Linked DNA regions of Arabidopsis thaliana. The protein of the gene in region 1 interacts with the protein of each later gene in a pairwise test. Each region holds a gene or a part of one and is shown in the gene's direction. Other genes may lie near its edges.

Evidence for each region.
Region 2: the proteins of NRPB8B (region 1) and PCFS4 interact in a two-hybrid assay, tested with the Arabidopsis thaliana proteins (one study listed by BioGRID).

The regions. Positions count from the first base shown.
Region 1 is NC_003074.8:22,014,077-22,018,862, forward strand, and holds NRPB8B (RNA polymerase Rpb8), read left to right. Parts: upstream 1-2,299; 5' UTR 2,300-2,439; intron 2,440-2,552; coding exon 2,553-2,631; intron 2,632-2,857; coding exon 2,858-3,015; intron 3,016-3,528; coding exon 3,529-3,620; intron 3,621-3,735; coding exon 3,736-3,847; 3' UTR 3,848-4,285; downstream 4,286-4,786. Other genes in the region: AT3G59590 (jacalin lectin family protein), read left to right, coding at 91-117, 182-874, 954-1,319, 1,414-1,692. UniProt on the Arabidopsis thaliana protein: DNA-dependent RNA polymerase catalyzes the transcription of DNA into RNA using the four ribonucleoside triphosphates as substrates. Component of RNA polymerase II which synthesizes mRNA precursors and many functional non-coding RNAs.
Region 2 is NC_003075.7:2,470,049-2,476,757, forward strand, and holds PCFS4 (PCF11P-similar protein 4), read left to right. Parts: upstream 1-1,817; 5' UTR 1,818-2,034; coding exon 2,035-2,367; intron 2,368-2,529; coding exon 2,530-2,631; intron 2,632-2,720; coding exon 2,721-2,960; intron 2,961-3,416; coding exon 3,417-4,607; intron 4,608-4,688; coding exon 4,689-5,204; intron 5,205-5,324; coding exon 5,325-5,369; 3' UTR 5,370-5,977; downstream 5,978-6,709.

The DNA.
Region 1 (4,786 bases):
ACTAGAACAACTTCCGTGGGAATTGGAGGAAAGAATACTCACTTTGATTCCAACAAAGTGTCTCGCTCTATTCAGATCTGTTTGCAAACGATGGAACTCTCTTTCAAACGAGAGAAGGTTTATCAATAATCATTTGGCTCGTGCCCATCCACAATAATTCATCTTGATTGCCAGATCCAAGATTTGCTCGGTGGAAGTTAATCTTGATGTTCCATCCATAGAGGTGCATAGCCATAACTTACCCTCATATATTCCCGGTTATAATGGTTTCTTCATGACGGTCGAATATTGCGACGGGTTAGTGGTTTATGCTACCGAGAACGGGATTGGGATATGCAACCCATTGTTGAGACAGATTAGATGGATCAAATCCAAAGTGAATTATCGTTACAATGGGGTGGGATACGACAATTCTAGACCCGAAAATCATTACAAGATCTTTGAGTCTTGCCCCTATAGCGATACAACCGTGAAAGCTAGTATCACCGAGTTTGTATCCGATGCATGGATTTCGAAACCGTACGAGTTTGCATATGATTGGGATTTTATGTCGTCCTATAGTGTATCATTGAATGGAGCTTTGTATTGGGTTGCTTTCCATATGGCGTCTGATGACCAGTTTATTCAAAGCTTTGATTTTTCTACGGAGAAATTTGAACCCTATTGTCTCTTGCCTAATAAAAAATGTGATCCAAGCAATGCTAGGTCCCTTGCAGTTTTTAGGGGAGATCGATTTTCGTATTTAGAGCAAAACTATGAGACAAGGAATATAGAGATTTGGGTAACAAAAAAAGAGATTAAAATTGAGAATGGAAAGGCTGTGGAGTGGATGAACTTGATGAAAGTGTCAGTTCCTAAATGGTCGAGTTTAAGAGTAATAAGCTATGATCCGCCAAGTTACTTCATCGACGATAAAACCCTCAGTCTCGCATTTGTGTTGTTTGAACAAGAAGGAAAAGGCTTGCATTTATATTGCCAAGGGAGATAAGTTCCATGAAATTATAATAAACGATTTGGTTGAGTATCCTACTCGTCATCACCGTACCTATGTTCCTAGTTTGGTCCCAGTTCCAACGTTCACGATGAGCAATAGAAGTAAAACGCAGCAGGTTGAGTCCCGCTTCACACCCCCTAGAGGAATACAAGCGAGCGATGGAGGAAACGAGTGGGACGACGGCATCTTCCACAATGTGAAGAAAATAAATGTAGGAGTAAATGATTTTGACACGGTCTTTGTCAAGTTTCACTACTCCAAATATAACCGGATTGAAGCCGGAGCAGGTCATGGAAATGCGACAACACATAATCCAGACGACGAAGTACGTGACGTGATGAGATTTCTTACTTCTTAATTTATTAGTTTCTAACTTATATATAGTTTTATCATACATATCATATGGATTTCTTGCATAGATTATGATCGCTGGAGGCGACTACATTGAAGCCGTCGAGGGGACCTACACTGAAAGCCATATCACCTCCATTACATTTCGGATGCGCAAGGGAGACATGATGCCACAGTACGGACGCTTGAACGGGACGCCCTTCTCGCTTCGAGGAGAACGAGGCTCCAAGGCCATCGGGTTTTACGGAAGAAGCTCTGGTGTCCACCTCACTGCTCTCGGCGTCCACTTCTCTCCACCCCCTCTATATTATTCGTTTCCTAACCATTCACCAGTTTTTAATTATTAATAATCATGCCAATAAAAAGTAATAATTCTTTTTTGGATATGAATATGATCGTTTTTCTTGAACATGCACGATTGAGTAAAATGGGAATATTACTGGCCGTGTTTTTTATTGGGTTCGCAAAAGCCTAATAAAAAAAGTTGGACTTATGAGTAAAATGGGAAATAGGGTTTTCCAATCCTTCTTTCTGAAACCCTAAACCGACAAGGCAAGCAAACAACAACGCTGCTATACAAATCCATCTATAAACTCTTTTTTTTCTTTTCGACCGTGTCCATTAAAAATATATGATGCAACCAGAGAACCAGCCGTGGGAATTGGAGGAAGAGATACTTTCTCACCTTCCAACAATTTTTCTCGCTCGATTGAAATCAGTTTGCAAACCAACTAGTGTTTAACTATTGCTCATACTCAGCAAACCATGCACCTACTCCAATATTTCAAACTTCTGATCTCTCCTTTAATGCAACATATGTAATAAACAACAAAATATACATGGAATGTCTCGGAAAAACACAAATCTATAGGGTATTTTCTGTAATAAGTAAAAATATAAGGAAAATATGTAAATAAACCAAACTACAAGGAATATATGTAATAATATGAAAAAGTAAAAAACAAAAAATCCTTTCTCTCTCGCTTCTCTTCTTCTCTGCCCCTCCTTAACACTCTTCTCGCCGCCGTTCCTCTCTCTGCCTCTTGAGCCTCCGGAGCTGGTGAAAAAAATCGTCTTTTCTATCTCCTTTGAAGGTAATTCAGCTTTTCGATTTCTCCAGATGCTCATATAGTTGTTTTATGCCAGTCGAATCGGATTATTTTCATGAAATTAAGAGTGTTTAGGGTTTGAATCTCCGTGTTTGTAGATGGCGAGCAATATTATCATGTTCGAGGATATCTTCGTGGTCGATAAGCTAGACCCTGATGGCAAAAAGTTCGATAAAGGTATCTACTTTTTTTTTTAACCTCAGTCACGATTTGTAATGCTTGTCATGGCTTAAATCGAGTTTCTGATATGAATCCTAGTTTCTTGTGTTTGTTTTAAGTTTTAGATAAATTGGAATCCAAGTTAGTGTGAAAAAGATCTCAACTTTTAAAATTTTAAGCCTCCTAAAGTTTGTTTGTTCTGACTTCAAATTGATTGCGTCTCTGTGTGTTTGTGGTAACACAGTTACGCGTGTTGAAGCAAGGAGCCACAACTTGGAAATGTTTATGCATTTAGATGTTAACACTGAGGTTTATCCATTGGCTGTTGGTGATAAGTTCACGCTGGCTATGGCTCCCACGCTTAATCTCGATGGAACTCCTGATACCGGATACTTTACTCCGGTACTGCATGCTTTTTCTATGTTAGATTTTTGGTGTATATTGCATACTCTTTTTTACTTGCTTGGATAAATCTCATGAATGGTTACAGTAAGTTAGGCCAGTTAACTTTTCTTAAGGTTTTGGTTGGGGCATACCATTAAGTGCTAATTGCTCGATATGACTAATTCCACTGGCTTGATTCAGGAGATAGGAATAAGACTAATCATATGAAAACTTGAGCAATACTTAGTCTCTTGAATATTGAATTAAAACCTATCTTTGAAAACCAAGACTGTTTTCTTTGATAATTTGAACATTCATTTAGTTTCCATGTCGCTCTATTACAAGAACATGTATTAGGATTTGATCTAATTGCTTAATAGAACAATTGCTTTGGCTTGATTCAGGAAGCCTATCTAGGAATAAGAGTAAACATGTGGAATTTGAGCAAGACTTAGTGTCTTGACTCTTGAATCATGAAACCAAGATTGTTGTTAGCTAATCTAATCTAGTTTCCATCTCGCTTTGTTACAGGGAGCAAAGAAAACACTTGCAGATAAGTATGAATACATCATGCACGGGAAGCTTTACAAGATCTCTGAGCGTGACGGCAAAACTCCAAAAGCGTAAGAATCCCATATACCTAGACCAACAAAATCATTTTTTCCCAAAGAGATCCAATTTAACTTACAGATCTAACCATCATGCTTCGGTTTCTATCTTGCAATTATGTGTTTGCAGAGAGTTATATGTTTCGTTCGGGGGGCTCCTGATGTTGCTTCAGGGAGATCCAGCTCATATTTCTCACTTCGAACTTGACCAGAGGCTCTTTCTACTCATGAGGAAGCTTTGAGATGCCATTGTCTAATCACTTTCCGAGAATATTCGCATAAAAACCGAATTAACAGAGAGCTTTCTTATAAAAGCTTTATCTTATGTTAAACTTTGCTATTATAAATACTATTTTCATGAAGCAACTCTTGTACATCCAATATTTAACTGTCCAATTGAATTATGCTTGTAGCTCAGAGCTGTTGATGAATGATGATAACCACTTGAGGCCAATAAGTTATAAAACAAACAGAGACAAAAAAATTGTTTCTTTTCTAACAACACTCTCACATGTGTTTAGTAATATTCTCTCTTTGAACAATAACACTAAGCCAATAAAACAAAAAAGTCAGTTTCTGGCGTAGCAGGAATTTTTCTTTGTGATAGTGAAGTTTTTGGAGTTGTTGTTACTCATGCTTGTATCCAGACGCCTTCCCACTTCTCCCAACTGTATGAGGCTCATGCGTATTATCGCTGTTTACCTCCAAACCATGATAAGCATGGCTGAGGAAATACTCGGATCCTGATTTTGCAGCTGTTTGATTTAGTGAGTGAGTTATGATTATTGCCTCTCAACTGCAATGCTTTCTCTGCAGCTTATACTAATGCCATTGGCTCTCATGTGTCCGTCTTCTTCTCCATTCTTTGCTTGATCTGCATCAAGTAGATTGTCAAACTCATGGAATCAAAAATGGCTTTGGTTGACTTAACAATGTATCAAGCTTTCTATGATACCGTTTGTTTTGTGATCTTCTAGGTAACCACCCTGAAAGAAGAAGATCCGTGGCTCCTCTGATCCGCTATATATGTGCTTCTGAAAAGTGGTTAGCAATTTGTGAATTGTGATCACTTGCGGCATTTAGGTTCATATTGGGTGTACGATTTTGGATTATAAAGAAAATCATCAAAACGTTCGTAGAACACAATTCACAAATTTATTGATTTAAACTAGAACGATACA
Region 2 (6,709 bases), on another chromosome or scaffold:
ATACAAAAAAATTAGCTTCCAAAACTTATAAAAGCTATATAGATCTTACTTTAAAAAATTAACAAATGCATTGAGCTCTTAATCACTTTCTAATGAATTCTTTTGTTCTACATATATCATGAATCATGACAAATAACATTCAATACCTACATACAACTTAACAAAATTACATTTTTTAATAAAAAAAGCCCGCGATTTGGTTCGGGTTTCGCCCTAGTACTAACTAGAGAAGAAAGAGATTTTCGAAGAAAAAATATGGAACATGTGAAAAGTTTAGAAGGTATGACACATATTGCTTAAACAAAATCATAAGAGGATGGAAAGAGACACTGTAAGAAAAAATGAAACAAATAAAACGAGTGCTTGCAAAAAGATAGGGAGAGTGATAGCTCTTTGTAAAAAAATTGTGAAGACAGAAATTCATATACATATTGAAAAGAATGTGAGAAAATATGAGTTGTTAAAGTAAAGTATAGATAAGCTTATGAATATACTTCTATATAATATCTTATTTTTAGACGAGCTATACTAACTAATGCAGCGAAGATAAACAAAAAAGAATAGTAAATTTACGGATTTCAAAATGAGAAAGTCGTCGAAGTTATTTTCCATAAAACAATTTATTTCATACATAAAAAGACGTCGTGATCCTAAATATCTAAAGCTAAAGAGAGAGTCATGAGCCAAAAAAATGTTCTTTTGATAAATGTTGTAAACCTAAAAGTTGTATTAAAGTTATTTTTAGTTTTGTATTTAAATTGTAACTATTGTCATGGTAATTTTAAAATTCAAAGAGTTTATAATATTAACAACAAGTAGACATATAAAAACATATCTTTTAAAAAATTTCTATAATAATTTTATTCACACAAAAAAATATTAAAAAGTTTTACAAATAGACCCATGCGTAGCGTGGATTCATAACCTAGGATTTAGAACGACTAATCGGGAGTTGCCACATAAATAATTAACATATTTAGTATCTAATTAATTAACATTTTTGAAAACAACCAATCGGGAGCTGCCACATCAATAATTAACATATTTAGCATCTAATTAATTAACATTTTTGAAAATAGCAATTACTTTATATTTTAAAATGTAAAAACAAAGGAACTAACAAATATTAAATTTAAACTTATAAAATAGGAAGCTATATAATTATAATTATGTAATAATAAACTCAAACCCTTATAGGATTTTATACAACTAATCCAACATTTTTTTAATATAACTTAAAGAAACGTAACAAGGACGTGGTTTGATGGTGGTGTTTTTAACTGTATCAATTTGAATCAAGTTCTCGAAGATATGCTCGTGGCAACTACCATGAGAATTCCACTTTTTCGGTCATGTGACAACCACACAAATTTCCGAGTTTCACGAGTTCAAAATCGGTGTTTCAACTCGTAACTTAGCCTTGAACGCATAAAAGCGAACTGAATGAATTAGAGTTGTAATGTTGTATTTATTTTTGTAGATTGTTTTAATCCGCTTCTTGCTAATCTCTGTATTTCTGTCAAAAATCAAAAATAATATAAAATCTAATTGTCTACCAAAAAAAAAATCATTCATAGTCCATGAGTAGAATCAAAACAAGATAGATTCAAACTTTATCAAGATAGATAAATAAGCTAAGAAATGAAATAGTTCCTCAAAACTAAATTTAGTGTCACCAAGAGGCAAGATCAAACTTTTCAAATAAGGGAAAGAAGAGAATTGCAACGTGATTAATTGATGAGGTCATAGTAAAAGTCAAAAATCTGTGTGACTCAAAACGGGTAAAAACAATAATTGGGATGTAGTTGATAACTCTAAAAAAAAAGGGACAAAAATGAGATTTGCATAAAGTAGAGATACAAAATTGAGAAGAAAAAAAAATCCTCTTCACTAAAAAAAAAAAAACTTCCGTTATCGATCTCTATCTCTCTCTTCCCCCACAAGGGTGGCGATTCGAGGAGTTTCCATGGTGGAACAGAAACCCTAGAGCCTTTATGCTGCCACTAATTATCACTCTTCACTATTGAATTGGGGATGGACTCAGAGAAAATCCTCAATCCAAGACTTGTTTCGATTAATAGCACCAGCCGCAAAGGTATGTCCGTTGAGTTGCCGCAGAAACCGCCGCCACCGCCGTCGTTGTTAGACCGGTTTAAAGCTTTGCTTAATCAGCGTGAAGATGAGTTCGGTGGTGGTGAAGAGGTTTTGCCTCCGAGTATGGATGAGATTGTTCAGCTTTATGAGGTTGTTTTGGGTGAGCTTACTTTCAATTCTAAGCCTATTATCACTGATCTCACTATTATCGCTGGTGAACAACGGGAACATGGTGAAGGAATCGCTAATGCTATTTGCACTCGAATCCTTGAGGTTTGCTTTCTTCTTATTTGTTTCCACTTTCTAGCCTTATTGTATAGTATGTAAGTGTAGAAGTGGGAAAAAAATTAGGTTTTTGATTGTCAGAGATTAGTGTTTGGTTTGTGGTTTAGTGAAATGGCTGCTTCTGAGTTACCTGTGGGTGTATATATGCAGGCTCCTGTTGAGCAAAAGTTGCCATCTCTGTATCTTTTAGACAGCATTGTTAAGAACATTGGGCGGGATTATGGTCGCTATTTCTCATCCCGTCTACCCGAGGTGAGCAGTCTACAAGAAGATGTTTACTTAAATGATTTGAATAGGGCTGAAGCATACCCATGAGCTGTTTTGATCCTATTCTGCTTTAGGTCTTCTGCCTTGCATATAGGCAAGCACATCCGAGTTTACATCCGTCAATGCGTCACCTGTTTGGGACTTGGTCGAGTGTTTTTCCACCACCTGTACTACGCAAGATTGATATGCAATTGCAACTTTCATCTGCAGCAAACCAATCTTCCGTAGGGGCTTCTGAGCCTAGTCAACCAACGAGAGGTATACATGTTAATCCAAAATATCTTCGCAGGCTGGAGCCCTCAGCCGCCGAAAATGTAAGCCTTTCTCTTTGTCATTATGAACAGAGATGACATTCTTTTTTTAGGTGCATCTGCAACCTTGAAGCTATGGTGTGTTAATTTTATATAAGTGTACTAAGTAAAACGGGTATTAGATTAGTTTGGCCTCATAGTGGTCTTATCCATTGTATTTCTTTAAAGTTTTGTTAGTTAGACGAGATAGATGTTTACATTCTTCAAGTAATCAATCTTGACTGGAAGGGAGTTGTTGTTATGGCCTCTCTCAGTTATACATGATGAGTAGGTCACTGGGACTCTGGTACATTAGAAATGATCTTGTTAGCACATGTAGAGGGTTTTTTTTTGGTTATAGTACAGTAGATCACTGTTTATGCATCATGTGTCGTTTGGAACTGTTTTTATATGTTTTTTTTCAAAGAGTGACTATACCTGAGATGCATATTTCCTTAATTGCTCTTGCTTGACATGCAGAATTTGAGAGGAATTAATTCCAGTGCAAGAGTTTATGGCCAAAATTCACTCGGTGGGTATAATGATTTCGAAGATCAGTTAGAGAGCCCATCTTCACTGTCTAGTACACCAGATGGTTTTACCAGGAGGTCTAATGATGGAGCTAATCCTTCTAATCAAGCTTTTAACTATGGAATGGGTCGAGCTACTAGCAGAGATGATGAACATATGGAATGGCGAAGAAAGGAAAACTTAGGCCAAGGAAATGATCACGAAAGACCTAGAGCGTTGATAGATGCATATGGAGTTGACACCAGCAAACACGTAACGATCAATAAACCAATTCGCGATATGAATGGCATGCACAGTAAGATGGTTACACCATGGCAGAACACTGAGGAAGAAGAGTTTGATTGGGAAGATATGAGCCCTACCCTAGATCGTAGCAGAGCTGGTGAATTTTTGCGATCATCTGTACCAGCATTAGGAAGTGTAAGGGCAAGACCCAGAGTAGGAAACACAAGTGATTTTCATTTAGATTCTGACATTAAGAATGGTGTAAGTCATCAGCTACGAGAAAATTGGAGTTTGTCACAAAATTATCCACATACATCCAACCGTGTTGATACAAGAGCAGGAAAAGACTTGAAAGTATTGGCTTCATCTGTAGGGTTAGTTTCATCAAACAGTGAATTCGGGGCTCCTCCATTTGATAGCATTCAAGATGTTAACTCACGTTTTGGCCGGGCTCTTCCTGATGGGACATGGCCCCATTTGAGTGCTAGAGGACCCAACTCTCTCCCTGTACCTTCTGCTCATTTGCATCATTTGGCAAATCCCGGTAATGCGATGTCAAATCGCTTGCAAGGTAAGCCTTTATATAGGCCCGAAAACCAGGTCTCTCAGAGTCATCTTAATGATATGACTCAACAGAATCAGATGCTAGTTAATTATTTGCCATCCTCATCTGCTATGGCTCCAAGGCCAATGCAATCGTTGTTAACCCACGTAAGTCATGGGTACCCTCCACATGGGTCAACCATTAGACCATCTTTATCAATCCAAGGTGGGGAAGCCATGCATCCTCTTTCTTCAGGAGTTTTATCTCAGATAGGAGCCTCTAATCAACCACCAGGTGGCGCATTCTCTGGTCTGATTGGCTCTCTCATGGCTCAAGGTTTGATCTCATTGAACAATCAGCCTGCTGGTCAGGTAATTATTCAAATCATGTCCTTGAGAGTCGGTTTGTTCTTAGTTATTGCTTTATCTTGAATTGTTGGTTTATATATTCAGGGACCATTGGGGTTGGAGTTTGATGCAGACATGCTCAAGATACGTAATGAGTCTGCAATCAGTGCTTTATATGGGGATCTCCCGAGGCAATGCACAACCTGTGGTCTACGCTTCAAGTGCCAAGAAGAGCACAGTAAGCACATGGATTGGCATGTAACCAAGAACAGGATGTCCAAGAACCATAAGCAGAACCCTTCTCGGAAATGGTTTGTAAGTGCTAGCATGTGGCTCAGTGGTGCAGAAGCACTTGGAGCTGAAGCAGTACCAGGGTTCTTGCCCACGGAGCCAACAACAGAAAAGAAGGATGACGAAGATATGGCAGTTCCTGCAGATGAAGACCAAACTTCATGTGCATTATGTGGTGAGCCATTTGAAGACTTTTATAGTGATGAAACCGAGGAATGGATGTACAAAGGTGCGGTATACATGAATGCTCCTGAAGAATCAACAACAGATATGGACAAGTCTCAGTTAGGTCCTATAGTGCATGCAAAGTGCAGGCCAGAGTCCAATGGGGTAAGCCATTCCATGCATTTTCATTAGCTTCATTTGTGTCTAGTTGAATCCATTTTCATTTTCGCTGCTAGACATTTATCCAGTGACGACCTCTTGATTTCCCGATCATGGCTTTTTCAGGGTGATATGGAAGAGGGTAGTCAGAGGAAAAAGATGCGGAGTTAGATCCCTTAGACCGAATTTTAGGTCTTTTTCTTGACTACATTTAAGTTACATTCTTATTTCTTCATCATCTATATGCACTTAGTCACAGAATACCACCAATGAAGAGAAATGATGGAGAGAGTCTTCTTTCTCCTAAAACTGTACCATTGAAAAAAAGAGGTTTACACCCACATATATTATCATTCTTTATGCCTCTAAATTCCTGTTGTGCCTTAGGACATGGATATCGTGTAACTGTTCTGCATTCTCTGCTACACCTAACCTGGGGTGCTTGTAGTAGTAAAATCAGATGTCGCAACAGTAGTTTCCCCATGTAAATGGAATACAATGTCTCTGTTTCGGATTGTCTTTTTCTTTTTCATCTTTAGATATTGCAGGGAAAGCCCGAGAAGACTGATATTCGAATGTGAACAGATTTCTTATGATGAATGGATCTCATAGATGCTGTTGCTAAGAGAACCAGTTTCAGGTTTCTTCTTTAGAGCTTTCCCTGTCTGAGTTTTACCTTTCTATGTTAGGCTGTTAGCTAAAAATGTTAGTTAACATAACTCTCTTTAAGCGTATTTGTTCTCTTGACTTTGTCTATAATGAAACAAGTTTTACTTTTCTTCTATCTGAACCTTTTGCTTTTGAAATTTCCACTACTTGTATCTTCATACCTACATGATACAGAGCCGGATTTATGTCGAAGTAGATTGAACGATAGTTAAAGCTTTCGAACTTACTTGGCTTTTTGCTCGATCAAACTAGAGTTTTTTCATGACTGTTACATTTGAAATATGGAATTATAAAGATTTAAAGGTTATGATTTAGTTCTGGTAGTACCTTATAGGACTGCAGAGCAAACTCAGTTCAAATCTGGCTTTGTCTCAACCGTTAGTCTCTAAACAAGAGTATGTGATGATCAATAGATGTAATGGCTGGAGTAAAATTCATGTTTGTTATATACATTGTGAAAATAGTCTATTATAGTATGAATATAAGAAAACAGCTTGCAATATGCAATATGAACTAAGCTAGAACAAAAGATCAGGTTAAGAACACACATCATTGCCCTTTTATTTTGCCTTTGTTAGAAAATTGGACCGTTGGTTGAATGGGATAAGAGAGAGCTAACAGAAACTAGTAGTGTACTAATAACAAAGATTTTAACTCCATATCTGTCAAGTGCAACAAAAGGGCTTACAATACAAAACAACAAAGAAACTGACAACTTGGGTCGGAGAACGCAAAAAGGGGAAACCCAAAAGGTGTTCAAAAAACTGTCAACGAAACGCAAAATAGACAATTTAAAACCGTGGTTTCCAGCAGAAGTCAATACCCGAACCACTTTACCTTTT